4 linked regions of the Caenorhabditis elegans genome follow. The protein of the gene in region 2 interacts with the protein of the main gene of each other region in a biochemical or structural test. Each region holds a gene or a part of one and is shown on either strand. Other genes may lie near its edges.

Region 1 (6,760 bases), on a different chromosome or scaffold from region 2:
TAACTTCATAATCCTTTAAAAATATAAGTTTAATAATAGGTCAAATGGAAATAAAAACATTGTTAATATGGAATTTTTTAATTATGGTTACCCTACATTTTGTGTGTACATAAAAATCCAGTACGTGTTAGTGGCATTTCGTGAATTCAAAATCATGGCTGTACTGCTTCTAGAGATCATTAAAAATTTAAAAAAAACGTTGATTTTCAGCTGAATTGAAATATTGCCAATCGAATCACGAGACACATCTTTTAGGCTCACAGAAAAATAACGAAGAAAAAAGAAAAGAAATGTGCAGGTGAATTTGTTTTCAGTGACTATTAGATTCAATATATTGTTACCAATTTGAATCAACTTACACGATTTTAACGAAAATTTGACAATATTTTGAGAAAACGGTGAGTTCTGGAAATGATCACAACATACACATGATACCACAAAATAATGCTTTCCGGAAAGATAAACTTTTTTCTGTGAAAATTTTTTAATTTGATTATGAAAAGATTGCGACAAAAAAGTTCTATAAAATATCAATTTGTAAATTAGAAAATGTGTTTCACTCTCTTCAAAAAATTAAATATTTATTCAAATTAAAAATGTGCAGAGATGCTTCGTTTTGGACTAACATCACATACAACTTTGATATTATTTTTAGGTTGCTCTTTCTTTTTGAAAATGTGGTGGGTAAAATAAAAATAACATGATACAAAATGGGCCCGAGCATCTAAACAAATGCACCGAGAGAGAAAAATATAAGGATAAGCACTTGGTGCAAAAAGATTGACAAAGGATAGAGTTGCAGGTACCACGACTGGGAGAAGAATCAGAATCATTGTTGCTGTCAACACTTTTTCAGATTTTAGATCTGTTTTTCGGTGTAGCTCGGAACTTCTGAAATTTTAAAATTTTAACTTGAGCAAATGCAATTGACACTAACATTTTCCGTTTTTGCAAAAGTTTGAAGAACATCAAAATTGCAGTGACAATAATTAAAATAATCGAAGCGTTTGAAAACATTGAGTAGAATATTGTGTAAATTCTCTGAAAAATTTATAATTTAAGCGTTTTATCAAATCAAATGCTTACCATATCTCTTGTCAATGCCGTGATAACAATAGCTCCAAACGGAAAAGGTTTGTCCATTTGATAGCAGGAAGTTGTGGAAAAGAAATGAGGAATTCCGAAGCAATGACCAATTATTATAAGACTTGGAGCGATTATGTCAAACACCTTGGATATTGTCTAAATGTCTTTTTATTATTTTTAAAAATGGACCGTGCAAAACATACATCCTTTTGATACTCAGCAGCATACAAAAGTGCAACTCTTTGAACACAAAATGCCAGAGTCATTAAATGAGATGTATAAACAACTCCAATAAATAGTAAAGATAATATTTTAAGAATTAATACAGGTTTTGACTCTGCACAATACGCTGTGAAAATCGATGTCAATGGAATTCGAACAATTAAAAAATCAATGAAAACATGAAATTCTTTCCACAGTTGCATCAAAAGAAATATTCTAAAAACATCCGGTCTCAATACTTTTTTCATTTCGTTGCAATGTTTATGTTTCAAATAGAAAATACACATTTTCACAGTGATCCAAAACGAAAAAATACCGTAGATAGCTGTGACAGCAGCAAAAATAGTCAAAAAATTGAATGTGTATTCAAAATTGAAATATTCCGGTTGAAAATCGATCGCCTTAAATCCATAGACAGACATCTCAAAAATAGATCACCGAACAATAACACCAGGATAGAAAAGAATTGGGGAGGAATTGTTTTGGAGCCAATTCAAAAGTTAATTTACTGATTTTTGTGTTATTCTTTAACAAATATGGCATCAATAATCACCAAATAATATAACTCTAATTTATGGAGCAGACATAAATACTTTATGGAAAACTTGATTTAATTATGACTCATTTGAAAACTTCCAAAACAAAGAAATGACAAATCAAGCAAGAAGTGGGCATTGGGATCTTATACGCCTACACAGATATGATACTGAAAAAAGTATACAGGTTCCAAATTGTTTGTAGTTGCTTTAAAATTGATAATGAATAAATGTTCAAAGCAAGCAGTCTAGTGACTCTCGACTTTGATTTTACTTAACTTTGATTTTCAAATAGTCACGTTTGGTTATAATTGTTTCTTTGAATTTTCAAAAATTTGTTAGATGAAAAACCATGTATTCCAGGAGATCCTGAATGCTCACTCTACCTTTTGCAGCCAAAAGGCAAGACTTTCTGACTATCCTGCGAGTTTTCATGAAAATTTATTTTCCTTTAATGGTGTTCATTGAACAATATATATTACACGAATTGCGGTAAATTGCTTAGCAAGCAATGCGTTCCATGAAGTAAAGTTTTGAAACGTTTCCCCGAAAACTTAAAGAAAAAAATTGGACAACGTTTTTAACTTTTTCACTTCACTTTTTGTGATATGAATGCACTATAAAAACTAGTATCCAGAAAATTATTATCACATTAAAAACTTGTGCTTTGAAATTTTTGAACCCAAAAAAAATATTTTTTCATCCGAAAAAAGACAAATTCAAAATAATTTATTACACATTAAAAATATGTTGACACTGTTCGAATAGTGCTGTCGTTTCGAATTTTAGTACTACGGTTTTTCTTTTTAAAAATGTAATGCGTATAATAGAAATAACAAGAAACAATATGAGCTCGGACATCCAATGCAATGCAACGCAGGAGAAACATATAAGCATATAAATTTGAAGAAAAAAGATTTGCAATTGACAGAATTGATGGAACCACAACAGGGAGAAGAATTAGAATCATTGTAGCTGTTAATACTTTTTCTGATTTTAAATCTACTGGTCGGCGCAACTCGGAAGTTCTGGAAAAGTTTTGTGTAAAATTTATTATAAGGAATTTTAACTTACATCTTCCGTTTATGATACAGCTTTACAAACATCATGATTGTCAATATAATCGTCAGTGTTATATTTGTATTAGAAAAAATTGAGTAAATAATAGTGTAAGTTTTCTGAAAAAATACTTGCATTACGATTAACTTTTGGATTTTCTATGAACCACCATATCCCGGCGTAGAGCTGTGATTACAATTGCTCCAAATGGAAATGGTTCGTCCATTTGATAACAAGAGCTTGATGCAAAAAAGAACGGTATTCCAAAACCATGCCCAACAAATATAATGAGAGGGTTGACAATATCAAATATTTTTGCAATTTTCTGAAAATGAAATGAATTAACACTAGAGGTTCATGAGTTGACATACATCTTTGTGATATTCATGAGCATATAATAATGCAACTCTCTGAATGCAAAACGCAAGAGTTAATGAATGAGATGTATATACAACTCCTGTGAACATCAATGATAATATTTTTAAAAGTAGAACTGGCTTCGATTGATAGCAATAACTGGTAAATAATGATGTAAGTGGAATTCGAACTATCAGAAAATCCATCAAAACATGAAATTCTTTCCATACTTGCATCAAAAGAAACAATCGAAAAACATCAAGACGAAGTCCTCTTTTCACTTCTTCGTTATTTTTATTGTTCAAATAAAAAATGCACATTTTTAGTGTAATCCAAAACGAAAACAGTGTATATGTACAAGTGACTGCTGCGAAAACAGTCCAAACATTGAATGAATATGTAAAATTGGAATATTCAGTCTTATTATCAATTGGTATATGTCCATAAACAGACATGTTGGAAGTTATTCGAAGAATGAAAAGTGTGGTTGACGTATGTCTACTGAAAGTAGGCGCTTTAATTGCCAGCTATTCATAAAATTTCATTGAGCAGTACGTGTATTGGCAAAAGATCAATTTTTAAACTTGCATCTTTTATACTTACATATATACCGGATTATTTAGGTGCTAAGGTCATGTATTTCGGGAAATTCGTAGTACATGCGAAAGATGTGAAAAAGTGTAAAATAAGAAGTCTTGTCTGGTCTCCTGTTTCTGGAATGTGGATAATAGCAGAAAATGAGTGAAATTGAATTCACTTATAAGAATTAAAAGTGTTTACGCGTTTTTATTCAAGTGACGAATGATTGTTCCTGGTAAATGAAATTATGGACTAGCAAAGCAAGTATTTCAGCTGAATATTCGACAGCCAGTTGGAGCCTTCGATATTTGAAAGAAAACCTTAATAATTGGTGACCGCAAAAATTAACTGCAGAAGAGTTTGCTTTTTTGGAACATCGGAAAAAAAAGTTTTTCATCAGAATCAATTATTGTCGATTTTCGATTGCAAGATATTCTAAAAGATTAGCAACAGTTTGAGGTGTTTTCTAGAATTTTTATATTTCGAAAAAACCTAAATTTTTAAATAGAATTCGGCGAACAAAGTTTCAGATTTTTTCAACATAGCTCAAAACGCTCTTTCGCAGGTTTTTGGTAAGTGATTTCAATGGTTTTTCCTTCAAATAACTAGTTTTTTTCTGGATTTTCATGTTTAAACTAAAGTACTATTCTTGTTTAAAAAACATTTGGGTACAAATATATTGGTAAACTAATGCGACGCCCCAACAAATAATGTTTTTTCCTGCAGAGACAAACAAGTCTGCAAAAAATAAGTTTTTGGGTGCGTTGCTCTAATCTGCGAATCAAATGATTTTTAGTTTGAAGGAAATGCCAGTTGAGTAGAAAATTTCAGACGCAAAAGAAATGGGGAAAAATCGCATGAAAAAATTATACAAAATAAACTATCATATTTCTGACATCTTTCAATGCTTGAGCAAAACGAAAAGAATGATCAGTTGAACTTTTGTGGCCTTCTTGGTCTTCTTAGTCTGACCCAAGTTTGGTTTCTTTCCGCTTGAATTCAGCATTTTCACTTTTTCGATATTGTTTCATTCACAACTTGATGAAGAGTGGTACGAATTAATTATTCTAATGATCAAAAATTGAATTTCTCAGAACTTCTGGAATGTAAATATTTTACGAAAAAAATTATTCTTTTAATGATTGAAAAAATAATTCGCGTAGACATCTGGTCTCTATTTTTTTTTAACTTTGAATCGCGTTTTTCTAAAGTTTGTTTACCGCTAATTAGAACAACGTTTAAAAATGATAAGGTCAATTTATACTAGAAAAATTATTTCTACTTTCTTCATCTGGTCAAGCATACAATTCAACTGTCAACATAATGATCATTATAATTGTTATTTCGATGCTTTTTGCAATATCATGTAATAGCTTTCTCGTTTTTTGTGCAAAATTGAAGAAGGACAAGAAGGCTACTTTAGAGGAAGTCACTCCACGGGTAATTCAATATTGTTTCATAGTTTAGAACTTGAACTTCGCAATTGAATAATTGATAATACCATCCAAATTTCAGGGAACCACACCGCTACCGCAATGTTCAAGACAATCGAGGATTGTTGACAGGGATGACAGAGGTTCAACAAAAACGAAAGGAGGTCGGAGAGGAGTCAAAAGCAGTAAAGAACCAGATTCCACGTGAGTTTTCTGCATTTTTGGGGTGATTGGATAGGCATAAAATGTTGTCACAACTTGTTTTTCTTTCGACTTTACTTGAAATAATTTTTTTAAAGATCATTTTTCAGGGATGATGCTTTCAAAGAAATGGCAAAGCGTTTAGCGAAGAAGGATAAACCTGAGAAAACTGGAGATTCAATTGTTGGAGATGACGACGAAAACCCTCTTGCACAGTTCCAGATGCCTGAACGACCAGTTGTCCCACCAAATTAGGATGGTGCAACATTGGAGAACATTGTTGAGATGGAGAAGAAGCCTGTCTCAAAACAACCAACGATTCGAGCTGTAACTCCATCAGGTGGCCCGAAGACTGCACAGGCGATTTCAGTTGCTCAACCGCCTCCTATTCTTCAAAAGTCCCAGAAATCCATTATCCCCAAGAAAGAAAAAACAATAACCACTGATAAGACGCAATCTGATCCACGTGCCAGAGAGATTGAGAGCACTCAGCATGTGACCAATATGACACTTGAAGATGCAATCGATACTGGGAAAAACGAAAAGGAACCTGCAAAATCCGTGGTAATTTTTTTTAACTGTAAAAGTAGTATACAGTGCGTGCAACTTCTATAGCGCCCCCTATTTTTTTCGTGTTTCGTCACTTTCCCAAACTTTTTTGAGAAAACCATTATAGCCATTCGATTTTAAATGTCAAAAAACCCCCTGCCCGAAATTTTCATGAAAAAATATCAAAGACTACGGTAATTAGGTCAAAAAGTCTGAAAAACGACCGTGCAACTTCTATAGCGCTCCCTCGAATTTTCGCTATTTTTCAATAAAATACCTAGTTTTATGAGATTTCTGAAAAGGATATAGTATTATATATTAAGAAAAATGATCATAAGGTTTCATTTTTCAATTTTCAACAGAAATATATTACGTGAAAACTTCTGGGATCCCAAGAGTGGCCTGAAACGCTTCACTTTGCGTTAGTGGCCAGTTCTCGGCTACCACTGCATGTATTGATACGAAACTTGACCGAAATTTTCATTTTGATTTACTGATAATGTTTCAATAAGTTGTCATAAAATTTGGTCAATATGGGCCAGGTTGACAGACCAAGTTAATAGTAAGTCTAGTAACCAATCAGTTGTTCTATCGATAAAACACATCTGAGGCATGTCAGAGAATGGATGTGCGTCTTTTCTGGTAGACAAGATATCCATTCAATTAACTATTTAAAACAAATTTTGTCCGGATCGAAAAATGTTGGAAAATGATCGGTAAAATTCGAGAAATATCCCT
Region 2 (8,297 bases):
CCATTAACGTTGGGTCTCGTTAGGTTTTGGCAAGAAAAACAGAAGTTTCCAAGAACTTTTAGCGTTTTTGGTTGTGTCTTCTGTTGCTTCCATGATTTTTGTGTCGAAACTGAAACTATTCGTTTTTCAACTAAAACAATAGAAAACATTACAAAAAGTTTTTAAAAAATGCTTGTAAACATAACAACTTACCTCTTTTTTTTGGTGCCAATTCCTAACGATACCCAACGTTTGGGGGCGGATCGTTTTTCATTTTGCCTTGGAGCGCACTTGCACATTGATTTCAAAAGTCTCCATTTTCTGATATGAATATTTTTGCAGTTCAAAGAAGCTCTGGAATGTGAGATCTCACACAACGAGTTCATGTCAAGATCCGATGTCGCCATGATGTTTGGAAAGCTGGATCCGATTCTCGAACTTCACGAAAGGATTTTCGCCAGACTGACAGTAATGTCAAACGAAGCGAATACACTTTTGACGGTCGTAAATGGAAAAAAGAACGATGATAAGAATCTGGACTTTGCACAAGTGTGGATTGATGCAAAAGAAGAAATGAAGAAGGCATATCCTCAGTACATCAACTCTTATGACACAATCAAACGGTTATTCGATAAACAGGATCGAGAGAATTCTAAATTTCACACATTTTGCAAGGCAAAAGAGAGTAATCCAGAGTTTCATCGGCTCAAGTTGACGGATTTGATGGTGAAACCAGTGCAACGTCTTCCAAGTGTCATTCTTTTACTCAAAGAAATGGCAAAGAAATCCGATTCAAAGCTGAAGAACAATGCTGAAGAGGCCGCAAAAGCGATTGACGAAGTTTTGAAGTGTGTACTTTCAACATAATTAAATTTTATTTTTCTAAATTCATTTGTTTTTCAGAACCGCCAACAAAACTCGTGAAAAGAATGACAACTTCATTTCCCATCTGAGCAAGTTCACTGACATTGAAAATGTTCCAGTAAGCGCGGAAATTTGTTGAACAGATGTTAAAATAATTTTTTTACAGCCAATTTTGGTGGCTGCCAATCGAATGTTCATACGAGAGTTGGTCGTTTCTCCGATTGCAAGTACGTCGCCAGGTCTACAGCAGTTTGCGAAAATGAAATTATTTTTATTTCATGACGTGCTAATTGTAAGAGAGTCTTTAAATAATTATTTTGAATAATAATTCTGAAATTTCAGATCACGAAAATACGCAGCGAGAAGAATACAATGCAACGTCTAGCTCGTCACGCGTCGTTTGCCAGTTTACATTCGAGACAGCGTCGCCCCTACAGGTACATTGACCAGATACAGTTGAACACGATGCGTAGTGCATTCCGAATTCGTGCTCCCGACGAGATTGCGAAGTGTCTGGAGTTGCAGCAGCAGAACGGAAGCACAAAGCCAAATGTGTTTGTATGGTGCCTGATTCATCGTGACGAGCAAGGTGGTGACATTGACACAGTCTTCGAATCGAATGATGATGAAGAGGTTCGAGATTTTCTCGACGATATTCATGTGAAGATCTTGAGTGATTGTGGGAGATTCTTCTACTCGTCGGATCCATCAGATATGAATGAGATCAACGATGCGATGGTTTCGGATATGACAACTCGATACTTTAGAAAGTAGGCTTATTTCAGGTTTCAAGTCTTTAGAAAAAATCAAAATTTCAGTCTTTGCGGAGCGAAACCACAATATGGACACGGCAGTCAGATGAACATTACGGTCAGTGAACGATCTACACAAAACGTGAGAAATGAAGTTTGATACATGAGTGGAGAAATTAAAATTGTCCACAGTGTTACACCTAACTTGAATGCTTATATATAAACTTTTATTACAGGAATGGTCACACAATGAGTCGTTTATGCCACCACCACAGTCACAGAGTCGAATGCGACGAGCGTTCAGTAATGCTCAACTCACACTTGCCACCACGCTGGGCTTTGGCAGAAATCAGAGTCGAAATAACTTGGGACAAATTAGTGCGTTTTTAGAAAATTTATTTTTTTTTCTTCTGAAATTGTATTTGATTCACTAATTTCAGACGAGAACACGACATTTCTGCAGTCTCCCAGAGTTTCGTGTGATCCAGCAGCTCTCGCAAACATGACGTCAGTCGGCGGATTGCCTGGATGCCAAAGCGAATCTGAATCGACGCCAAAGCGAGGAATTCGGTACGTCAATGCACCCCACAGATTTATCGGAGACAACACGTTTTCGAGATCTGTCCGAAAAGTCAATTTGAAGATCTACGGTTTCAGGATGTGGCACCGTGTCAACTAGAAATACTCGTAGTTTTATCGAAGAAAAACTTAACAATGATGCTCCTTTGTTGTCACGTTTTTCTTCGAGAAAACCACGAAAATTTCTAATTGGCACGGTGCCAGATCCTGAAGCCGTAGATCTTCACATTGTAGATATTCTTTTAGTAGATCTTCTTTTAGTAGATCTTCTTTTCGGCCGGATCTTGAAGGCGTGTTGCCTCATTCATTGACCATATTTTCCCATGAGTTAATGCCAAATTGACACTCTACATCTAACATATCCTGTTAGTTATTTCAGTTCTCGCCTCACCTCGACAACGTTCCTCGGCGGCCGACACAACATACTCGGACGAAACACGTCGATGCGCCGTCAGGCTACCGGATTTGCTCATTCGGAAAAGGAACTACCTCGCTCAAAAACATCTTCATATCGTGTCACCGATATCTGAAACTCCCCGCACCCGTGTAACTGATAACTCGAATCTCTCCTCCGACTGATAAATAATTCGTTCTCACTCTTTTCCGAGCTTCATACCTCCAGATGCTCACCGGTGTATTTTGATGGTTTATTTCTTGCTTGCTCTCAGCTCCCTCCCTCTTACATTTTTCATGTTTTCACCCGTAGTTTTTCATTTCGTTTTTGTAATTACAACAACCGAAACTACCGTAATCACCATCCACAACTACGACCAGATCCTTTGTATCATACTGATTTACCATTTACCACAGGTGTATTTTTCCCCCCAAATCGTCATTATCATCTTCCTGTCCCCGAGGCTTGTGTGACCATTGCTCCTTGACTTTTATTATTTCCCCGAAATCACTTGTATGCCATTCTTATCCGATACCCCTTTCCCCTTTTATTCTCACCATTCATTTGAATGGTCATTCCCCCACAGTAACGTTACGATTACTTTTTTCTTTTTTTTTGAAAATTCAAATTTTATTCTTGTTAGAAAATGCGATAGGGGGTTCAAATGAAATTACACCCTACTTGTCTTTAAGTCTTTGAACTCTCTAAAAACAAAGAAACAAAGATGAGATTAGTGAGAAAAAGGAAACATGGGCGGAGCCTTATAGATGGCCCCTGGAGATTTCATATCTTGGAGCACATGCCGCTTGGCTTTTATTCATTCATTCCGAAACACGTCTTGGCCAGGATCCTGCATATTAGTATATTTTAAATTCAGATTTTTAAATTTTTTTTATCTTCTTAAAATTCGAGCTAATTAATTGTGATTCAGAATCTGGAATACATCATTGAATGATCGATGAGCCAGAGGATATAATAGCAGTTGAAGATGAAGCCGAAAGAAGGTAGGTCTGAAAAGAAAAAATGATTCGAAAGCGAGAAAAAAGATGTGCGTCTTTAATAAGTACAATAACCCGCAGATTCCCGTTATTTCGATAATTTCTCGGATTTTTCCACACATTCTTGCTAGAAAAATATTTTTTGTTCAGAAACAAAACTGAAACTTCTGGTAAAAGTGAATAAAATCGAAGAAAAATGGAAAACGCCGCAGCTGGGTTACTGTACAATTTAAAGGCGCGCACACTTTTCGCGCAGCCTCCAAATTTTATTGGGGAAAATCGCTAAAATTCGCAATTGGATAATAAGAGACTGTTTGAAAAACTTTCTCATACATTTTATCAGTTGATTTGGGGCACGATCGCGCTCCACTGCCAAATTAAAACGCCCCGCCCCTAAACGTTGGGTCTCGTTAGGAATTGGCGGCAAAACTAGAAATTCGAACATTTTCAGTCAATTTTCGCCAGTTTCGTTTTTAGGCTGTTTTTTTAAAATTATTTGTATGTTAAAATTGATGAAATAAAGCTGGTTATAAGTTTGGTTATAAAAAGCTGCGGCAAAAAAAGGGGGAAAATATATTTTAATAGAACGAAGGAAATGCAATGTCTCAATAATATAGTTAGACCCTTCATTTTGTACTCCATTTTTGGTGTCCCCCCGTCCAGAAGGAGACGTCTTCCTTTTCTTCTGCTTCTTCTTCTAATTATGCATCTCCTCTATACTTTTCCTCATCTTTTTTCTTCTTCGTTTTTTTCCTTGGTCCCATCTTTATTCCAATGTTTCTTTGTGTAGTACCACTACCATATGTTGTTCTTTTAATACACTTTCCCTCCTTTCTTGCCTCATTTTTCTTCATATTATAGACATGGTGCATCATGACTTGAAGCATCATGCACCCCCAAAAAAGAAAAAAAAGTAAACTAAGTCGAAAAAGTTTTCGAAAAAGCCCTTTTCCCTGATTCCTATACAAATAGCATTGTGCCAAGTGGACGTTGTTTGGTGGGAAAAAAGGTGCATAGAGAAGGGCGGGGGTCCCGGAGCCGGCTCAATGTTACATCCGTTTCGGAAGAGTTGAAGTAGACAAGGAGAAAGATGAATTTAAGGACTCTTGGGAACTACGCTAGAACACCTTTTCGCTTTTGTTTTCGGAAGTATAAAAAAAAACAGAAAAACTTAAAAAAAATAGAAACTTGATTTAAGCATAATGATTTTTCTGTACACAGAACTGTTATGGGGTTATTCAAGTAGTGTCGGAAAATTAAAAAGTGTAGAAAAATTACGTCACAACCTTATTCAAGTATATAAAAACATGTATTTAAATACATTTGTGACGTCACAAATGTATTTTAATACATTTTGCTACATTACTTGAATAACCCCATTACTCCAAAAATACGGTACCCGGTCTCGGAACGATAATTTTTTTGTTAATTTCAGACTGGTATGCGTCTTTAAAGTGTACTGTAGCCACAAACTTTTCTCATTGCAGATCGATTTTTTAACGCCTGTAACAATGTATATATGGGAAAGAAAAGTATTAAAAATCGATGAAAATTCCGCAGCAACAAATGTTCGAATTTACAGTACTTTTTAAAGGCGCATACCTTTTTGAATTTGAAAAAATTGTCGTGTCGAGACCAAGGACCGTATTATTGAGATAACAATCCGAACGCTTTGGCATCGGGGCTCCGGGAGCTTACCTGAAACCTTTCATCATCTGGAAGAAAACCTAAACTTTCCCGTTTTCCTTTCTGGAAGAACAATATTTCCGAACAGTTGCTTCATTGTTTATAGTTTTGGAAAATAATATTATAAGTTGCCGTATCTTTTTGTTTTCTTTCAACAAAAGATTCAATAGATTTGATTTAGGGTTGTCATACTATTTTCTACCATACGGTACCTACAGGCTTCACCCAAGTAATTAGAATTTTCGCATTCCTCTAAGCTTGGCTACATTTTTTTGTGAAGGCATTTTACAGGCGAGTGACGGGTGACATTCTGTCGCGCCTCAGTAGAACGCGAAGACGGGTGTTTCCACCTGAACCTTCTCACCCAATATGTAACTAACTTCTCAAAAACCAATCCTGGCTTCCACAGGACATCGATTCTCACCAGTTTCTCACCCGTATCAATCGGATAAATCTGGTCTTTTCTTCTTCTTCTTCTCAAGATGCTACTAGCCACCAACACAGAGCACGCCTACTCTTCCTCTCCGTCCGTCTACTCCGCGGCAGCTCCTCCGCCGCCAACTCCTTTTCTTTTCTTCATCTGCTACTTCTTCTTCTTCTTTTCGTCTTTCTGCTCCAACGCAAGACGATAGCTCAATTATCCACAAACACACACACACACATGGAGAGAAATACACACACACAAATGCATCACATTCGCACTCCGGGGAGGAATAGAAAAATAGACGTCGTGTACTTCCAGATTCTGGTTTTTTCTGATTTATGACAATTTTTTCCATTTCTGTCGTACAGTATTTTGTTTAACATTTTTTAAAAATATCTATATGCTGTCAGCACTTTTCATTCCGCCTCCAAGTTTAATAATTCCCCAAAGAACTTTTATCAATTATCCCTAGAAATTTGTTCTCTACAACTAATGTCGGCGTAACAGTCATGCGTAGGCGTTTTCGGCGTGAGGCAGGCAGAGGTCACCTTCAGGTTTGCCCTAATTTTGGATTTTTTGGCCTATTTTTCGAATTGCTTTTTTCCAACAAATGGATAGTTTTCAAAATGTGAATTTTAAGTAAAGATTTTTTTGAAAAAAAAAGAAGCTGGTCGCCTCGATGATTTGAGACCTTGGATAATCAGCTCGAAACTGGTAGATTATGTTTCGATATGAGTTCGGTTATGGATGGTTACTGTACACTATTGCTGGAAAACCGGACGTACACTTTACGTACACCAAAATCATGCCAGTCTTACTGTACACATTTTCAATATTCCAGAACATTTTTTTCTTAAAATGCACACAATTCTACTGAAACTTCTTGGAAGACGAACCTTCCATCCATCATGCCCAAGTGTTTATTCTTCCATTTTTCGACCTCCTCATCTTCCATCTTCTCCGCCTTCATTCCTTCGTTTTTTTTCACATTTCCACTTTTTTTCTTCATATTTCATTTTTCGTCTTTTCTTCCTAATCCTCGTTTTTCTTTCATTTTTCAATGTCCCTTTCCCTTATTTATTGTTTCCAATATTTCCAACAACAGCTCCATTGGACATTTCAAATTTCAAATGTCCGCCCGTTCATTTCTCACTCAACCTTTCCGGCCGTAGGAAAAATAAAGATGAAACTGGACATGCAATTCGTAGTTTTCTTTCGTTTTATTGATGTCTGGACATGTTCGGTTTCTTTTTGGAGAACCTTTTGAAATATCATTTTTTGGAAAAAAAATTCAAAAAATAGTAGCACCAATATTTTAACACCATATTGCTCGAAATATTCGAAATATTATAAACTCTCATTTTCAAATTTTCTTCTTGGTGCTCTTACGATGCTCTATCAAATGTCTGCCGTCTCTCCCAATCAAACAATATTTCCATCTATCAAATGCTGGTCATTGACAACGATTGAAAGATTCAATGAGCTTCAGCTTCTTCTTTCAATGTTATCTTTTCAAATTGATTTTTCTCAGGCGTTTCAATTTTTTCCAAATTCGTGCCTACATTTTCTAATCAAAACTCACAAAAGCATCGAAAATAGGCGGTAGGCAGTCACATAGGTAGGCAGGCATAAAGTAGGTACAAATTGGAGATTGAGACTACGTGACTAGACCCGGATCAACTAAGAATTTTATTTTTAACCTGGTTTCCGCCTCAAAGTGCTCCTCGGAGCAATGAATCGGGTTTTGTGTTCTCATACTTTACACATTGGCGGATCACTTTTAAATTTGTTTGTAACTTTTTTTTGAGGAACCGGAAATTTCCGAAATTTCTTTTTTTTAAATAGCCACAATTATCTTCTGTACTTACAGAGTTAAGCCAAAAATTAACTTTTGATAATTTTTAAGTAAACATTAATTTTTGGATATTTTCCTTTGAGTTCCTTTTTTGGCCCGAATATGCAATATATAACAAAGAAAATCTAAGAAAATTAGATTGCAAAACTTCATAAAATGCGGAAATTGAGTGGGCCAAAGTTTGGAATTTCTAGCATTGGAGACAAAGCATTGGAGACAAATATTCCAGAGCGAATTTTCAGCTAGATAAGTCTTTTTTTCAGTAATTTTTGATTAATGAAACTCAATAAAAAAATGGTCCAGCTGAAAGTTCTCCCCAAAAATTTTCTCACCGATTCTAAATTTTTCAAATTAAGCCCCGCCAATTTTTGTTTTTTTTTAATTCGAGCTTCTGGAGCCAAAGCTACCTATCAAACTTTGACTCTAATTCTTAATCTTCAATTATCAATCTTGAACATGTACCAACCGAGACATGACTGTCACAACAAATCGTGGGACTTCTCCCCTCTGTGAAAGCATGTGGTTCACCGGGAGCACACACAGGGGCTCTTCAACCCTCTAAATCTATTGTTTTTGTGAATTGTGTGTGTGTATGTGTGTGTGTGTAACAAATATCTTTCTGAGATGGCCCCGCGGGCTCCAAGGAGCCAACGAGAGCCCAATGATCTTGGCTCTGATTTTTTTTGGAACATAGTTTAATTTTGGGGTAAAAATAAAAAGAAACGTGTAATTTTAATTGTTTCACTTCTCTGACTGTTTAAATAAA
Region 3 (8,151 bases), 3.9 Mb from region 2:
CTCTCTCCATTTCCTCTACCATGAAGCCATTTTAAAAAACGCTCCATATCTCTACTCTCTGCCGAAAGATCAATTTGTGGCTCTTGGCATGGCGATGGGCATATTTTTCCATTTGAAGTACGCAGTCATTTTTGGGCTTCCAACACTTTTTGCCAAGCTTGATAATATGGATCCACTTCCGGGCCCGATTTGTTTGATTCGGGTAACTTTGTACTCAAAGGTGAGCAAAATTCGGAGATCGAAGCTTTTAACGGATTCAAATATTTTAGGTGTGGAGAGAGTTTGACCGCGGTCTTTATCAATTTTTCAAGACCTACATTTTCATCCCGATCTGTGCTCCAACATTTTCGTTGCCACGAAAAATTTTCGGAGTTTTTATCTCGTACGGTTTTGTGCTTCTTTGGCACGGATTCTATCATCACAACATTGTGAGTTAAAGTTAAATTTTCTTAAGAAGCAGAACGATGGTGTGACACCGAAATTGAGGTAAATTGAGCTAGTCAGACACGTAGGCAAGAAGTAGGCAGGTCTTTAGTTTTTTGTTGCATTGAAAGTAATATTCATGAGATAAACTAGAATACTTTCTGACACCTCCAGTAAATATTCCATAGACGTAAACTAATTAGAGCGTTATATTTAGATCAAGATCACTTGAAAATGTCAAGATCTATCCATCTAATTACGCGAGTAATTATCACAACTCTATTCCATCTTTTCTAGGTCTGGATAGGATTGAACATCTTGGCCTTGTTCATCGAGATGGGATCCAAGGCGATCTACACAATTGAAAGTGTTCGAAAGTGGCGGGAGGCTAATCTATCTGACGTGGCGTTCCGTAGAATCTTGGCGTGGTGCCACATTCTGCCATTTGCCATCGGCCTGTACTCCAACTTTTACTTCCTTGGAGGTTCAGATGTTGGAGCGGCATTTGTGCAAAGATTTTTGATAGAAGAGACTATTACGTTTAGGTGAGAAACCATTAGTTTAATGAATACTAAAATGAATTTCAGGTGGCCATTCTTATTAATTATCAGCTTGGGATGGTTCCATGCAAATACCGCTATGGAAGTTGATAGGCTTAAGAGCCTGGAAAAGAGCAAAAAGGAGAAGAGTAATTAATATTTGATTTGCCAAATAAATTCTGGTTCAATATATTTGTAAATAAAGAATAAACTAACTAGAAATGGAGCAACACAGTCCAGCCACACATTCGGTCATGGCTGGGCACACCTTGTTGGACCAGCAATAACTCGAGCCGTGAAGACTGAACTCGGGCTCCGAGCCATCTTGGCAAACTGCGTTGACCTTTACGTGGTGGACATGATGAGGTTTGTAGGTCTTGCGTGGATGGGAGCATTTCTGGAAAATTGAAATTTAAAGGAACTTGAAATTAAAGATTGCCTTTGAAAACTCCTGGAGTAATCCCAATTGTCTAAAAAAATGCAATAAAGGCACCTTTTATCAGGAGTGTGCGGCAAACGATTTTTCTGGCAAATCGGCAATCCGGCAATTTGCCGATTTGCCAGATTTGCCGAACAGCAATTGCCGCCCATTCCTGAATTATTTAGTGCATCTACAGTAATATCTTATAGAGTATCCATACAGGCTCTGGAATACTACTGTATTGCAAAAATGCGGTCTTTTTGTGGGTCCAATGTATCCCTACGATTTCCCTACTGTAGTTTCACAGTACAACTTTGTTGAATTTAAAATTCCCCAACCCCTTACCTTTTCATCAGAACCATCATGGCAATCTTTCCATCCGTCACAGACGACGACAGTTGGCACACAAACATTTGTGGACTCGCATCGGAACTCATTCGATTTGCATTGCACTTCTGTAATAAGTCAAGTCGACGAAAGATTTTCTCAAGCACGGAGCACAATTTTTCAATTTTTCCTTGAGCATTTTCTCCTACAAGTGTGCGAAAAACAAAACAAGTGTGCTGGTCAAATGTTTAACTATTGTTTCTCCGAGCACACACACACACATGTGTGTGTGTGCTCTTTTCGTCCCCTCTCACCTTGTTGGAATAACCGGGTCTACTGGCTGCTTTTCAACTAAAAATTATTGGAAATGAGTCATTGATCTATCTTCCATTTTTTGGTACTAGTATTTTTCTCACAATGAAAAACATCAATTATTACATTCTAAGGAGCGAGGTAGTATCTAGCACCTATTATAACGAAATGTTCAATGTATTTTATGACTAAGAGGCCCCCTACCAGAGCAATGTTCCTCGTCATCACCATCTGGGCATTGAACTCGGCGATCACAGAATTGGGCGACTGGAAGGCAATGTCCAGATTTACAGGCACGCTCCCCGCTTGGGCATTCGTCGGATTCGGTGGCGACACGGTCGGAGGTGATGCGGACCTGAAATTGAACATTTTATGAATAGCTAAAAATACTGTAAATGGAAATTGGTTCTGATCGGTTTCGGAATAATGAAAAATTTTGATTTTAGAAATTTTCAAACATATTTTCACTTGTTTGAAGTCCTTTAAGTTGAAACACAATGTATCAAAATATGCAAATCGGAGAAGAAAAATTTTTTAAAAAATGGACCAAAAAATTCATGTGCAAATATAATAGTCGTTGAACCTCTCAGTTACAGTTTTGCCAATATTTTTGGAAATTTAAAATTTTAAAGGAAGTTTCAAACCATCAATGATAGCATATATGGAAACCCCTTTCTTAATATTTTTCTCAAATTTCCTGAATCACTTTCCAACGCTTACCTCAAAATCAGCCTCCACATTTATTCCTTGCACAATCATTTTATAAGTTCCATCATCTGCGTCGGTGGCGTTGATGATATGAAGATGATGTTTGTCTCCTTTTTTGTAAACCGTCACACGCCCGTCTTCTGCCAAGGTCATCGAGCCAACTCCAAGAAGAACGCTGTCTTTGGACCAAGCAATCTGGAATAATCAATAGTTTTACACAATATTAAAAGATTTTTCGGAGCATTACCTCAATTCAAAAGTCAATTAAGAAACTTTTTTTTTAATTATCAACATAGCTTGGAATTAGAAAATTAAGCATAGCCTCCAATCATGTAGACACTTTTTTATAATCAAATAAAGTGTATACGAACCTTATTATCCTCTACCGAACTATCAATTGAAGCCGAGAGATGGATGGATCCATGTTTCTGAGCGAAGACAACTTTCTCAGTTTGATGGATGATTGGTTGATGCTGCTTGCATTTTCCATGCTCCTTGTGCTCATCTGATCCATCTGGACAGTTGCGTCTTCCATCACAACGTTGATCCGCCGGGATGCATGACTTGTCAAGGCATGTGAATTCTGTGGTGGCGCAGGCTATTGACGAGTCTGCAATTTTTGGTAAAGTAAGATTTTTCAGGCGACTGAATAATTTTAACATATAAAACAACACACAACAACACACAACAACACACCTCTTACAACATGAAGCTCAAAACCCTCATCGGAAACCGTAAGGTTCCCAATTTTTCCAGACTTTATCGCGGACAACAACACATCAGACACCAGTGGTGACTCTTTTTCAGCGTACAAATCCACGTAGACAAGAGATCCAATGATTTTGTGATATCTGGAAGTTACAACAACATATAGGTACACACACATGTACATACATACGCATGTATTTACACAAAATACTCTATTGTTGACTTTCTCTCGTGGGAGGAAGCGACCGTTTTTTTTTTGTTAAGAATTATCAGAAAACATGACATTGGAATTTGGAAGAATTATTTGAAAACTTTAATATATACTTTTTAAAATTAAGCTGCAGAAGTATGCCTTCTAAATTAGTATTGTTGAATTTTGAATGACCGCGGACTCCGGACCTCGGACTTCGGACCTCGGGCTTCGGGTTCCGTTCTCCGGACGATGGACTCCGGGCTCTGCACTCCGGACTCCCAATTTTGGAACCCGGGTCTCCGAACTTGCGGATTACGGACTCTGGGTTATGGCCCACGGGCAACAGTTACGGGTTTGGATTACGGACTGATGGACATTTTGTAATTTTAAGATTCCGCAAAAAAGTAAATATGTGGAAATTAGGGGAGCAATTTTAGAATTTCTTGAAAAGTGAAAAACGCCCAAAATTGTCGATAACCTTTTTCACTCAAAACTCACTTATAATCGGCAACCTTAGCTGTATGCCTTCCTTCTAGATCCTTGACCAACTCTTGAATAGAATGAGCTATATCTCTAGATGTGCTCACGAACTCATCGCTCTCAACGTTCTTCAACTCCTGAGTGTACGGTAGTTCGGGAAAGTTGATGGTCAACCGGTAGATGACCGTCAGTGAAACGACGGAGAACAGCGAAAACGCCATCCCCCCTAACTAGTTGACGGGGGGTATAAATGAGCAGTAGGTCAGTTTTAAAAAAAGAAAGTAAGGAGATAGAAGGTTGCTAGACAGAGGCGCGCGCTGACCGTCGGCGGCGGCGAGGCACAGCGGCACAGTTGCAACTTCTTAGGCCCCGCCCACTTTTTTAGGAGAAGCTTCCACCCTCCTTCTTCTCTAACTGAATTTCTTTCCTGACTCAGGTAAATATTTGCATTTTAGAGCCGCCTCTCTTGTTGCGCCTGCGCGTCTCGCAACTAGCATAAACACATCACACACACTCACACTCACTCACACACTCACATACTTGAATAGCTTGTCATGCACCACGTTGGACGGAGTATCATGGTATATAACCGTCTCATAATATATAATATAGATTCGCATGTTTCTTGCTTATTGTTATTATATTAGACGCGGTTGCCGCTATTGGGGGTGCAAGTTTGAAAAGAGCTAGAAAATTTGGTAGCATTGGTGTTTGAGAAAATATTTCCAATTCTAATGCGTTTCTGGCCATTAGCTGACAGTAACCAAATCATACAGTTCTCATGTATACTTTCTAAAGCAATTCCAGTGTGTTTAAGCTTCAAATCTAGCAGTCCTCATTTTATGTAAAACTACATAATTTCCAGAAAAGTACAAAAATTCAACAGAACATATAAAATATGTTGATGTTGCATGAATACATAGTTGCAAAACCACAATTTTCCTAAAATTTTCAATTTTGGCAACTGCCAAAAATAAAATTTGTCGGCCACTCTCTTGATACAGAGTGAATCCACAGTACCTGGCGTTTCACGTCAAGTGCATTTGAGTGTGCTACCATAGTCTTATCGAAAGACTTTTGTACATACAATAAACCTAGCCACTTCGTGATCAATTCATGAATTTCAATTCAAAACAACTCTATATTGCAAATTTCTGAATTCTAGGATTTTTCTAGGAAGGCGGTGAAAACCATGTACAAAGCTTCGCCTTTTTCAAGTTGCTCCGGCCCGCGTGCACTTTTGATTTCATTTGGCAAAAAGAGTTTTTGTTGCAATACCCGCCCAAACCATCATATATCCTGTCCAAACAAAATATCCCCAAATCTTTTCCGACATACACAGGTCGTCGTCATCTCATCACTCGACGAGAGTTCCCCGATCATCAAACCTCATATTGGTGGCTCGTCTTTTCCGTCCGATTTTCACATCCTCAAGTGTTTATAAATAGAGGAAGAATCATCTCCCAGAGGTTATAGCTTTGACTATATATATTTCATTTTCCCATACCTTTTATAATCACTGATATCGCCACCTCACCAAAGAAGGTGGCGAAAACTGTCGAAACCTTCCGATTATATAAAAGTACCCCCACAAATATTGACACAACAATTGGACAGTCTTCAAGCCGATTTAAGGGAGGAACGGTAGCTGCTTGGAATGGGGGTAGTAGGTTAAAAGGTGAAAAGCGGCGAGGAAAAAGAGTGGAAAATTGGTGGAGAGCTGGGAGAATTGTTTGCTGATTTTCGCACTATCCCTATACTTCTTGCATCTAAAAGTGCAAATCTTTTGGGGAAAGCTGGTGAAAAAAATTGGGAGTTAATTAGAGGAAAAAACAATTGGAACAAACACAAAATTTTCAAGAGAAAAAATATGATTTTTTGAGTACAGTGAGTAAATATATGAAAGTGAATAAAATTTTTTTAAAAATGGCAAAAATAATTTAGCAATTTTCGAAAAAAAAAGTTTTTAAGCCCAAACAAAACCATAACACAAAGCATTTTGAAAAAAATACAGACACACTTAAACTAAAAAAGCAGGCAAACATATCCCAATGAGGAGGGGGCCACCCAACAAACGCAACAGGATGAATGAGATCTATAACCGGGAAGAGTTGTAAACTAATGTAAAGGCAATTGTTAGCGCGTTAGGAAATTGTCGCATGCATACATTACACACCAGGGGTGGGCCGCAAATAATTTTTTTTCTCGGAAAACGGCGAAACGGAAAATTGCCGAAAATTAAAGTTCCCCGCAAATCGGCAAAGTTCAGGAAAACGAAAAAAAAGTGAATTTTTTGAAAAATAAAATTTTCGGCAAATTTTGGCTTTGCACATTTTGTCTCGAAATTCAGTAAATTCTATTTATGTAAATATCTAAAGAAAACGAAAACAAATTTCCAAAAAGGCAGTTTTAAGTTGTTCCGTCTTATAAAAAATCTCTCTAAACACTCCGGCAAATGGCAAATCGGCAAGTTTTCCAAAATGAAAATTGCTGGCAAATCGGCAAACCAGCAATTTGCCGAATTTGTCGACAATTTTAAGGTACAATAACCCACGAAATCGCAAATTAAGGTGCAAAACTGTCAGAATATGTTTGCCTTATTGTATTACTGACTACACTTTCAGCAATCTTTCAGTTTTACATGATTTTTGCCAACCTTTTTCCCTCATTTCTACACAAACAATTTCGTCGTCATCAAAAATCCCCTCAATTCTTCCTCCAAAAAAGTGGACAGATAATAAGCACTTTTAGCGGAAAAAAGACGGACTGTGCAAATAAAAAAGGACAGTTGTATCCCCTCTTTTCAATTTTTGAAAAAAAAGTTTCCCTAGGTGCAAAAGTTCTCAAAACAAAAAGTTTGCTTACCAAGTGTCCATAGACTTGATAGCGAGACTGGCGCCGCGTTGATTGGATCGCAACAAAAAAAGATAATAAATAAAAGTTCAAAAAGTATAGATATTCGCATTTTGGTTCGCACGCATTGAAAAGTGAAATATTCAGAGGATAATGTGGTTAGGCATTCAAAGTTTCCGTGGATTGTAACATTTCAATTTCGGCGAGACGAGGTGTGAGAGGGGGCTCTAATGAATGACTGATATGTGTCAGACGGGATGAGTGGATGTGCACATTGTTGTTTGCGGTGAATTAATTCAATGGGATAATGGAATTGGAGGCGAGATCACTTAAGTTAGTGAGTGAAGTTTTTCCTCTGTGGAGTTGAGCTTGGAAATTTTTTGTGATAGAAAACAATATCCATGTACCGAATATGAATGTTTAAAAAACTAAAGGGCTCTTTGTAATTTGTTTTCAATTTTGCAACAAAAAAAATTAGAAAGCTTTATTATTTATGACATCCTTTGCAAAAGAGTGGCGTAGTTCTGGAATCTTTTCTCCTTTCTGTGGCAATATTCAAAAATTTCCAAAAATACGTAATTTATTTGCAAAGAATTTAACAATGATTAATAAATCATGTGATTCGGTCTTTTTTTTTGCAAAATTAAAATCCTTAAAAAATTAGAAAAAGACCATTGCTTTTTTTACAGTTACCTATATTCGGTCCTCTAAACGAATACTGGTGCCTCCGTGTAGGTACAAAAAAGCCTGCCTGGCTTCTAGTATCAACTTTTTTCTATAGCCTGTCTTTACATTGCAATCTCCAAATTCTCTATTCCAGTCAAAATTCAGGCAAAACGGAGGTAGCAAAACTCGTGGATCTGATCCCATTGAGATTTTAGAAAGCGAGTTCAGTATCTCAGATAAACTGGAGTCACGGCAGAGCGACAGAAAATCACTTCTAATCAGCAAAAGCTAGTAAAGCCATAGTTTATCAGCAGAGAACCACTGCTAATTAGCAGGTCATTGCTAATTAGCTAAAAAGCACTGCTAATTAGCAGAAACCCACTGCTAACTAGCAGAACATTGATTATTGATTTTATTTTGTTTTTTCTTCGTCGTATTTCACATATTTCATTTTTTTGACCTTTTTTATTGTATTTTTTGTGTGATATGTTATCAATATGTGTTAATTGTTAATTCCAGTG
Region 4 (8,516 bases), on a different chromosome or scaffold from region 2:
AAAGGTACAATAACATACTGTACGGATTAAACTGACATTGGGGGGCAATTATAAGATATGGTTACGTAAAATATCACGACAATCTCTGAAACTGGACACGACAATTAGGATTTATTCTGTCATAAATGATTTGTAGCATACCTTCAGATTATTTGTAGAATGTACTGAAGTGTTTTGAATTTTATTATAGATCTGATTCATAACCTGTGCTCATAATTCGAGTACATTAGAATTTTTGTATTCTTTGTACACAATGAACCATCTTGCGACCAAAACCATTTCTTTCAATAAAATGTAGAATAAAAAAGTTAGTTCAAATTTTGCAGAAATCTTCAAAACTGAATTTGGAACCCAAGAGTGGTACAAATTGATAATATTGATTTTGATAAAAAATTTAATTTATTTTTTGTTGATAAAAATTGATAAATTTATGAAAAATAGTTTGAAATGGGGTTTGGTAAAATTTTAAAATCTTCGTAGGCTTCGAGAAATTTTTTTAAAAGTTTTTGTGCCAAAATTTATCTTACGATTAGTTATTACAGAAAGTCCTTTTAAAATAAATTACAGTATAAGAATTTCAATAAAAATTTCAGATACGTTGTTTTTTTTTTTTGGAAATTTTTGGCAAGATAAATTTTTTTTACTGAAGTTGTTGTTCGTATATGGAAAACTTTTCGATGTAAACTACATATTCAATAAAATTACCGTATTTCTTCTATTAATATGGCCTCCCTATTAGTCTTGCACTCCCTATTAGTATTGCTCCTCGGAGACCTTCCGAAAGTTAGTATGGCACTCCCTATTAGTCTTGCACTCCCTAATAGTCTTGCGTTTACTCTTTTTTATTGCAATCCCGTATCGCTGATTTCAGGATTTCAACAGCATTTTTTGCCTATTTTGCAACAGTTTTTTACAACATTTCTACGAGATTGAAGTTTTTGAACTTATATGTTACACTTAAGATCAAATTTTCTGAATTTTTACACAAGATTCGAGCTTTATCAGAAAAAAACTAGTAAGCTGAAAGTCAGAAAAATGCTCTGAAAATTAGTATTGCACTCCCTAATAGTCTTGCACTCCCTATTAGTATTGCAAGCTAGAAGACCATCGAACAATAGTATTGCAGCTATATTAATCGAAGAAATACGGTAATTCTAATTTACAAATGTAAGTGAAATTTTAACATTTATCAGAAAAAACTCTTAATTACTATTGTTTGAATTTTCAGAAAACAACCAAACGGCAAATAAATTTGTGTTTCAGCATTTAGTGCAACAAGTTTGCGACTAAATATTTAAAAAAAATTGCAGCTTAAAAAATTTATTAAAAATTTATTTACAGTAACAAAATGGTAATTAATCAGTTTTTGAGATTTGTTATTTTAAAAAGAAACAAACATGTATTCAATTGTTGGTATTTTAATTTTGTAAAAAGTAAAGTGTGCACGGCAATCAAAAATACTCGGAAATTAACATTTTCGGCAATTGCTGAAATTTCCGCAATTGCAGATTGCTGACAATTTTTAGCAACTTTTAAATTTAATCTTATTCTGAAAACGAATTATTACACCTTGTTTAGTGTTCTGTAAATCATTTTTCGATTGGCAATTCCGGCGAATGATGGCTCAGAAATTTTTCAGCAAAATTCCCGATTTCCGAAAAATTCGGCAGTTTGTCTGAAATTTTCAAAACTCCAAAATATTGCATAGCGTTTTGTTTTACCACATGTTCAATATTTGAACTCTTCTTTTTGCATAATAATTTCGTGTTTAATTCCCTACCTTCTAGTCTTCTGAAGCACTTTGCTTTGAATCATTCGTTTGTAGAACACGAGATGATCGTTTAGTCTACGAGACCACATATCATCAATTTTCGTATGTGTACGTCATGAAAACACTTATAGATATATATGCATCCTATGTATTATTTATTCAAAAAAAAGATCATAAAAACTATTTCAGCAAGGATGAAAGTGATGATAGTTGCGAAATCAACGAAAAAAGGATATGTCAGAAAACAATCAGACTAGCGTGTCGTTGACGCTGAACTCGATCAATTCTTCCGGCTCAGCAACAAGTTTACTAAAAAATCAAAATTTTAATTACGATTTCAAATTCACGTTCTACCTTATTTCAGGACTTGAAACTTCATTCAACTGAACTTCCGGTGTAGGAGTCCTCGTATGACCGTTCACATGATAGCTTAAATTTTCCGAACACGAGTTCAGCTCCCTCTCCTTCAACGCCTCGTGGCTACCACCACCGCCAATTTTGGCTCTTCCATTCAAGTGCTTCGTATCATGCACGATCTTTGTTTTGTAAACTGATGTTTGATTGATTATTCTGGAAGACAAAGCACAATTACAACGCGTTTTCGAAATTGACAACAAACCTGTCACTTTTACGCCGGTCTCCAAAATATGTCTTTATGACCAGTTGACGGAAACTTGGGTTCAGCCACGCATAGAGTACCGGGTTTAAAACATTGTTCGACATGGCAATACTAGAAACGTTAAAATTAATATTTGCAAAAACATGAAAAAAATTGAATTCAAAGGAGGGATCCGGTTTTGGGTATTTTGAACATATAGTCACAAAATGTGCTCAATTGAACGAATTTCGTAATGAAACTTCTCAAAACGTTTTGGGCCAAAACGTTAATTTCAGCTAAATCCGCAACTTTAGCCACTTTCCCGACTCACAGCGGTCAGAAACTGGCTTTATTTGAATAATCATCATTTGTGCCATTTGTAGCTTTTATTTCACGTTATTTCGTTGATTAAGGTATCTTTCAATCCAATAGGTAGCCGATTTTGTTCATTTTTTGTTACTTATTGGCTTAAAAAATACCTTAATGATCGAAAAAAGTGAGATAAACTATTAAAATATGCGATAAAGGACGATAATTTTAAAAAAAGTCAACTTTCGACAGCTGCGGAAAAGTGACAGAAATTGAATATTTTAGCTAAACCCAGGTCTTTTTCCAAAAAATGAACCGGCATAAAAAAATTTTGAGAAGTTTTATTTTGAAATTTGTTCATTTGAGGCATGTTTGGGTTTATACGTTCAGAATGGTCAAAACCGTTCGTTCTTGGTTAAAATCAAACCTGTGAGTGAAAAGGTTCAGTAAATAACTGATATCGTAATCATCTCTGCCATAAAGTCGGAAAAACGATTGTGTGTCATCATATTCAATAATCAAAGAAATGACGTTATGTGGCAGCCAAGTTATCCCAAACCAGACAACCATGGTAACTAGGATTGACGTTGTTCTAAAACACAAATAGTATTTCGGTTAGAAACCTTGCATTTAATACCTTCTGTTCTGAAGTACAACTCGTTGTTTCTCCTTTTCCTGTTTGTCTAGAAATTCGTTCAACTGGAACGAAATCAAATGTGAATTTTTAATTTGAAAATCAATAAAACTACCTCATTTTCATACTGTTCAAGACCATGCGACGGGAATGCGCAAGAGCTCTCCAACGCGCTTGTTCTCTCCACCATTTTGCGTATCTTTGTCTGAGCACGCTTGCTGAGCACCGAAACAATATTTGCATAGCAGAAGGCCATGACAGCGAATGGGACCACGAATTGGGCGAGCATCACGATCATTGTGTAGGCTCTTCTAGACTTGGCAGATTCCCACTTTTCAGTGCAAAAGTAGCCGCATATTCTCTCTTCCTGAAACGAGGGTACTAGTTGTATAAGAAGTTGAATACCTAGAAAAAAACGACACTCACTGTGTATTCAATCATTTGCATATTGAACGCATAGGGTAGAGTTACAACAAAAGAGAGGATCCACAATAGAACAGTAGTAAGAAATGCTCCTCTTTGGGATAGTGGTGTAGAATGTGGTCTTACTACAAGGATATACCGATCCAAAGCAATCGCACCGAGACTGAATGTGCATACGAAAATGCTGATACCTGAAAAAAAAACGTCATTTTAAAAAACTTCTTGTTTTAGAAAAAATACCTTGAATGCATGGTATCAAATGGCAGAGTAGATTTCCAAAGTACCAGTTTTTGTACACATTTGTGATTGGAGTGATTGGAAGCGATAATATGCACATCATGCAATCGCTCGCCGCCAGGTTCAGAATGAATATGTTTTGAACGCTCTGAAATTTAATGATAATTCACAGGAGAAGTGAAGGTTCTGGGATTTTTGATTGGACTAGTCAGAGTAAAAATCTTGATCCGCTTCAAAAAATGTTAAAAACATTTTTGTGATGTTCCATCACGTATTTGGTTCGTTTTTGGAAAAATTCTTTCAAGAAGTGGTAATTACTCAGTTTGACTGTCTATAAAATTTTTTTTTCTAGTTGTGAAACGTTTATTATGATATTTGGTTATATAGAATTATAAGAGTGTTTTTTTTTTTTGCCAAATATGTACGTCACTTTTCAAGTAGACATGGATAACCTCGTCTCTCGTTAGCCGGGTGTCAGTAAGCTGTACGCACTATGCACTTCGAATCAAATTGTTCAGAGAACCCGAAATTGTCAATTTTCCAAAACAGAACAAAATTTGACCCGAAAAAAAAACGAAACGTACCAGTAAAGCTTTATGGCTGCAAGTTACGTAAATCAAGGTCACATTTCCAAAGAGTCCAAGAAAAAAGAGAAAAAGGTACACGGTCAGAAATGGCACTATCGCATATATACTTTGAGAAGGATCTGGATACACTTTCCAATATACTTGACAGTCGGTAAAATTTTCAACTTCCATTTGGCCTATGTCTGAAATTTTTTTAGTCTAATGGAGGAAAGAAAAATTGAGGAAACAAAGATGAAAGAGGGTGTTAACCAAATAGATTAATAGATAAAAAATAAAATCCTATAGTTTCCAGAAAGTGATTAGAGATTTGGCTGAGTATAATTCTTTCTTCTCATGTAAGCAAATTTTTAGGGTTTTTTTAGCATGGCTTATGGCTTATAGAAATTAAATATTTCGTACTCACATCTTTAAAAACCCCAAAATTATACTATTTCTTGGCCCACTAACAGGTTCCCGGTCTAGACAATACGACAAAATTTTAAAATGCAACTTATAAAGATTGTGTGCACTTATAAAGATTACTGTACTTTTCATTTCTCGTTGATGAGTTTTGGTGGTCTTTTCATAGGTTTTCTTACGAGTCTACAAAAATTTTATAAGTTTCAATATACAGTATTTTTTAAAGGTGCAAATGTTTTCAGTTGACAAAAAAAACTTGTCGTGTTAAGATCAGGTTTAGTTAAGCTGTGAAATGGCAATATTTTGCATCTGGGTGATAAGGCAGTATAGGTGCAATACTTTTAAAAAATAGGGTAAGTCTAATTAGGTAGTTCAACCACATTGTAAGATCGGAGACCTTAAAACCATCTTGAGCTTTCAGAATGTATATTTTTGGCGGAATACACCTGCGAATTGATACAGATTACAAATGACAGAGATTCATTACAGAATTATAGATACTGGAAGCACAGGATGTCATCTATCGCTTTGACAAGTGGAAAATTTTTTATTTTTTCCGTATGGTTCAACAACTACCTAGTAATAAATGGATAGAAACAAGATATTGGTAAACCAAGGTTCAAAATTTCTAAACCCTGTGTCAAAAAAACAGCACTGATCTATGTGACGAATATCTTAGACGGAAACCAGAAAAAAATTGCGTTGAAATTTGCTAAATGTGAAATGAGAGCAAAAACAGGAATGATGTGAGAGGGAGTTGTGTGATGAAGCCGAAAAATGGTTGACATGTTCACGTTAATGAAAAAGGGATCGAGGGCCGAAAAGATGAATACCTGAGAAAAAAGAGAAAAAGAATATGTGGGGAAAATTTACTGAAACAGGTTTCAAAAATTCCGCAATTGTTTTCCAACTCTATTTTCGTTAAACAACGGAAATTGAATTTTTAAGTAGGAAATAAAAAAAAGTGACAATGGTTTTGATCATGTGTGGGTTGAGATTAAATTTTTGATATCAATCAAAACAACACAAACCCAGAGGCTGATTGAGTTTTGGATAAACTGATTAAATTTAATCTCGAAATTCTCTGAAGCCAGATTTTTTTAAAGTTGAGCTACAATTGGATCGGGCGACGTTCAAATCACAATTCATTTTCAAGGAGAATAATGCATCAAATTGGAACATTCAATGAAAAAAATCCTATTATTATATTTTTTTTAACAACTAGGCTAACGAACTTATTTTTCAAACTAGTTACTAATAAGGAAAATTTGTTTTCATGCTTTCATAAATTCAATTTAAAGTTCAAGTAGTTGTCATTGTAATTGTTATGAATAAAGTTCAAAGTTTTCAGAAATTAAAACTAAATCATTTTGCAATATATTATCTATCCTCGAAAATCAAAACATCATTAAGAAATATTTGTTCTTTGAAATTAAGGAGACTATTCAGAACTATTTCCTTTTACTGAGAGATTTAGTTGCATGAGACCGAGAAAATTAAGTGCTTTTCACAAACTCAATGAGCATTATGAACACATTGAGGTCCGAGCACTATTGGCGCATCACGAAAGAATTTTTGATTCGCGGTGTGCACATTGTGCCCTGTTTTGTTGGTATCATGCTAAAGCTGCACGTATTTCAAACTAACCGTAAGATGTATATTCATAATTTCTCAAAAGGCCTATTGGTTGTTTAAAATGGGAATAACAGTTTGGGATATATTGAAAATATGAACTCAAAAATAGCTGAAATGATCAAATTTATTAGATACTGCTCAAAAATGTTTCATGATTATTTAAATGTTTGAAAAAGTCACCATGCAATAAAGTATGGTAATTGACTAACAGTTCATATCCAACAGCTGTGCTACAGAAAAGTAGGCAAAATTCAAAAATTCCACTAAAATTAGCTGTATTTTTTTTCAAAATTTCAAACTACCACAAAAAATATTGCAACATTTTTTGAGTCGTTCATTTGGGCACATTTTTAGTGTGTACGTTTATGACAATCCAAACCTTTCCTCCTCCTTTAACATCCAACAATTGCAGAAATTTTACAAGAAATTAGTAGGGTTATTCAATGGCCACAGTCACACATTCCGAGTTTATCAACTACGTAGGGAAAAACTTCTTCAAAAAAACTTCTTCGAAATTCAAATTTTGCACCAAAAAGTTAAAAAATATACAGATGAATATTTTTCGCCAAGAATAGACATCAAAACGGAAATGAGGTATTTTCCGGACCCACGCACGACTCTTTGTGAAGTGTAAAACTGAAATACAAGTTATGATAATTTGTATCTTCCAAACATTTTTATTAAAAATGATGTCTAAAAATTGAAATATGGTTAGAACATAGATCGGATCAGTTCAACTAGAAATTGAGAAATCATAAATAAATTTTGAGCCAGCGCAAAGAGTACGTTTACCTCCTAGTTTTCCGGTTTAACATCGGGGAGATCGCATGTCTCATGCTTTGAAATGTTTGCTTCAACCCCCGAGAGTTCAAAGACGGAAATGCCACCGTTTTCTGCTAGCTCTGCTAGAAACTAAAAATCAATCAAATAATTTTCATAAATTTGCAATTCGATGGGAATAATCGTAGGAATTGAAACCAGAAAAATTAAATATTTGAAAGTTTGGAACATGACTGACACGGAGCCCGGATTAATTTTTCATTACATGACGTAAACTACTGAAAATAAATAGTATGGCTTTCTCAATGAGTAAGATGTTGTGTTAAAATTTTTAGTTTAGAAAATAGTCAATTCGAAGGGAAAAAACTAGAAAAAAAGGAAAACGCGGAGTCACCGATAATCCAACTAGTATTAAAGTACTATGTCATTTATATCAGCCAAACGATTTGTCAACCGTTCAGACACCAGCTAAATGTTTCATTCCGCTGAATTTTTCAGTCTCTCGTGACAAATTCTCTCGTGATAAATTGAGGTACATGTTAAGAGCACTTGATTAGTAATAGAGAGGCGGAAAATGGAAATCATTCAAAATGATGAATAGTCTTGGTTTTGTGAATTCGATATTTGCACGTTGACTGTATGCTTAGAAACAAATGACTTTTTGGTTCTAAAACTCAGAAAATTACTCCTCTTCTAGTTAGAAAGCCCTTTTCGTGAAACAAGAAACCTTAACACTATGGGGCTTATTTATAATCTTCTAATTTTGCTGCCATGTTTTCTTTGTGCCAACTGCGTTTTCCTGTTACGTATTATTTCTATTTTTTCATGCATCTGGATTAGGCAATTTCAAAAGCATCAGCTGCCAACGAATTTTAGCCAAATAATTAAGAAGACATACTAAACCAACCGTAATTTTGTTACTGCTTCTTGAAAACTTAAATTTTTAATACATATATAAAAATCTAGATACTAAGGATGATTTTTAAAATCAATTAATTGTTTGTTAGACTGACTAAATGGCATAATAAATCGTTTCAAAAATTGGTTGAATTTACTGGATGCCGGCCGAAAATATGTTGTGATGTTTTTAATTAGAACATATGCGTGATATAATTTTTTCTATTTCAACATTATAGGTGTTTG

The links.
Region 1: the proteins of mpz-1 (region 2) and sru-39 form a complex in vitro, tested with the Caenorhabditis elegans proteins (one study listed by BioGRID).
Region 3: the proteins of mpz-1 (region 2) and unc-52 form a complex in vitro, tested with the Caenorhabditis elegans proteins (one study listed by BioGRID).
Region 4: the proteins of mpz-1 (region 2) and npr-1 form a complex in vitro, tested with the Caenorhabditis elegans proteins (one study listed by BioGRID).

What each region holds. Positions count from the first base shown.
Region 1 is NC_003283.11:9,800,431-9,807,190, reverse strand, and holds sru-39 (Serpentine Receptor, class T), read right to left. Parts: upstream 3,716-6,760; coding exon 3,275-3,715; intron 3,229-3,274; coding exon 3,070-3,228; intron 3,023-3,069; coding exon 2,919-3,022; intron 2,873-2,918; coding exon 2,584-2,872; downstream 1-2,583. Other genes in the region: sru-37 (Serpentine Receptor, class U), read right to left, coding at 591-891, 938-1,041, 1,087-1,242, 1,290-1,730; F46B6.10 (uncharacterized protein), read left to right, coding at 5,163-5,279, 5,355-5,476, 5,584-5,728.
Region 2 is NC_003280.10:10,773,349-10,781,645, reverse strand, and holds the start of mpz-1 (PDZ domain-containing protein), read left to right. Parts: upstream 1-3,519; coding exon 3,520-3,572; intron 3,573-8,297. Other genes in the region: ect-2 (Protein ECT2), read left to right, coding at 322-827, 883-961, 1,010-1,135, 1,186-1,613, 1,662-1,737, 1,832-1,973, 2,036-2,165, 2,554-2,704.
Region 3 is NC_003280.10:14,679,965-14,688,115, forward strand, and holds the start of unc-52 (Basement membrane-specific heparan sulfate proteoglycan core protein), read right to left. Parts: upstream 4,493-8,151; 5' UTR 4,333-4,492; coding exon 4,130-4,332; intron 3,582-4,129; coding exon 3,427-3,581; intron 3,341-3,426; coding exon 3,102-3,340; intron 2,926-3,101; coding exon 2,743-2,925; intron 2,378-2,742; coding exon 2,227-2,377; intron 1,839-2,226; coding exon 1,729-1,838; intron 1,360-1,728; coding exon 1,179-1,359; exon of another isoform or gene 1,120-1,178; coding exon of another isoform or gene 1,011-1,119; intron 969-1,010; coding exon of another isoform or gene 721-968; intron 429-720; coding exon of another isoform or gene 270-428; intron 221-269; coding exon of another isoform or gene 1-220. Other genes in the region: hhat-1 (Protein-cysteine N-palmitoyltransferase HHAT), read left to right, coding at 1-220, 270-428, 721-968, 1,011-1,119. UniProt on the Caenorhabditis elegans protein: Component of an integrin containing attachment complex, which is required for muscle development and maintenance. Probable structural role in myofilament assembly and/or attachment of the myofilament lattice to the cell membrane.
Region 4 is NC_003284.9:4,765,245-4,773,760, forward strand, and holds npr-1 (Neuropeptide receptor npr-1), read right to left. Parts: upstream 4,742-8,516; 5' UTR 4,731-4,741; coding exon 4,557-4,730; intron 4,121-4,556; coding exon 3,976-4,120; intron 3,927-3,975; coding exon 3,739-3,926; intron 3,680-3,738; coding exon 3,428-3,679; intron 3,378-3,427; coding exon 3,316-3,377; intron 3,271-3,315; coding exon 3,106-3,270; intron 2,502-3,105; coding exon 2,391-2,501; intron 2,342-2,390; coding exon 2,126-2,341; intron 2,081-2,125; coding exon 2,020-2,080; 3' UTR 1,908-2,019; downstream 1-1,907. UniProt on the Caenorhabditis elegans protein: G-protein coupled receptor for FARP(FMRFamide related peptide) neuropeptides. Activated by FARP neuropeptides flp-18 and flp-21. Plays a role in modulating social and feeding behavior.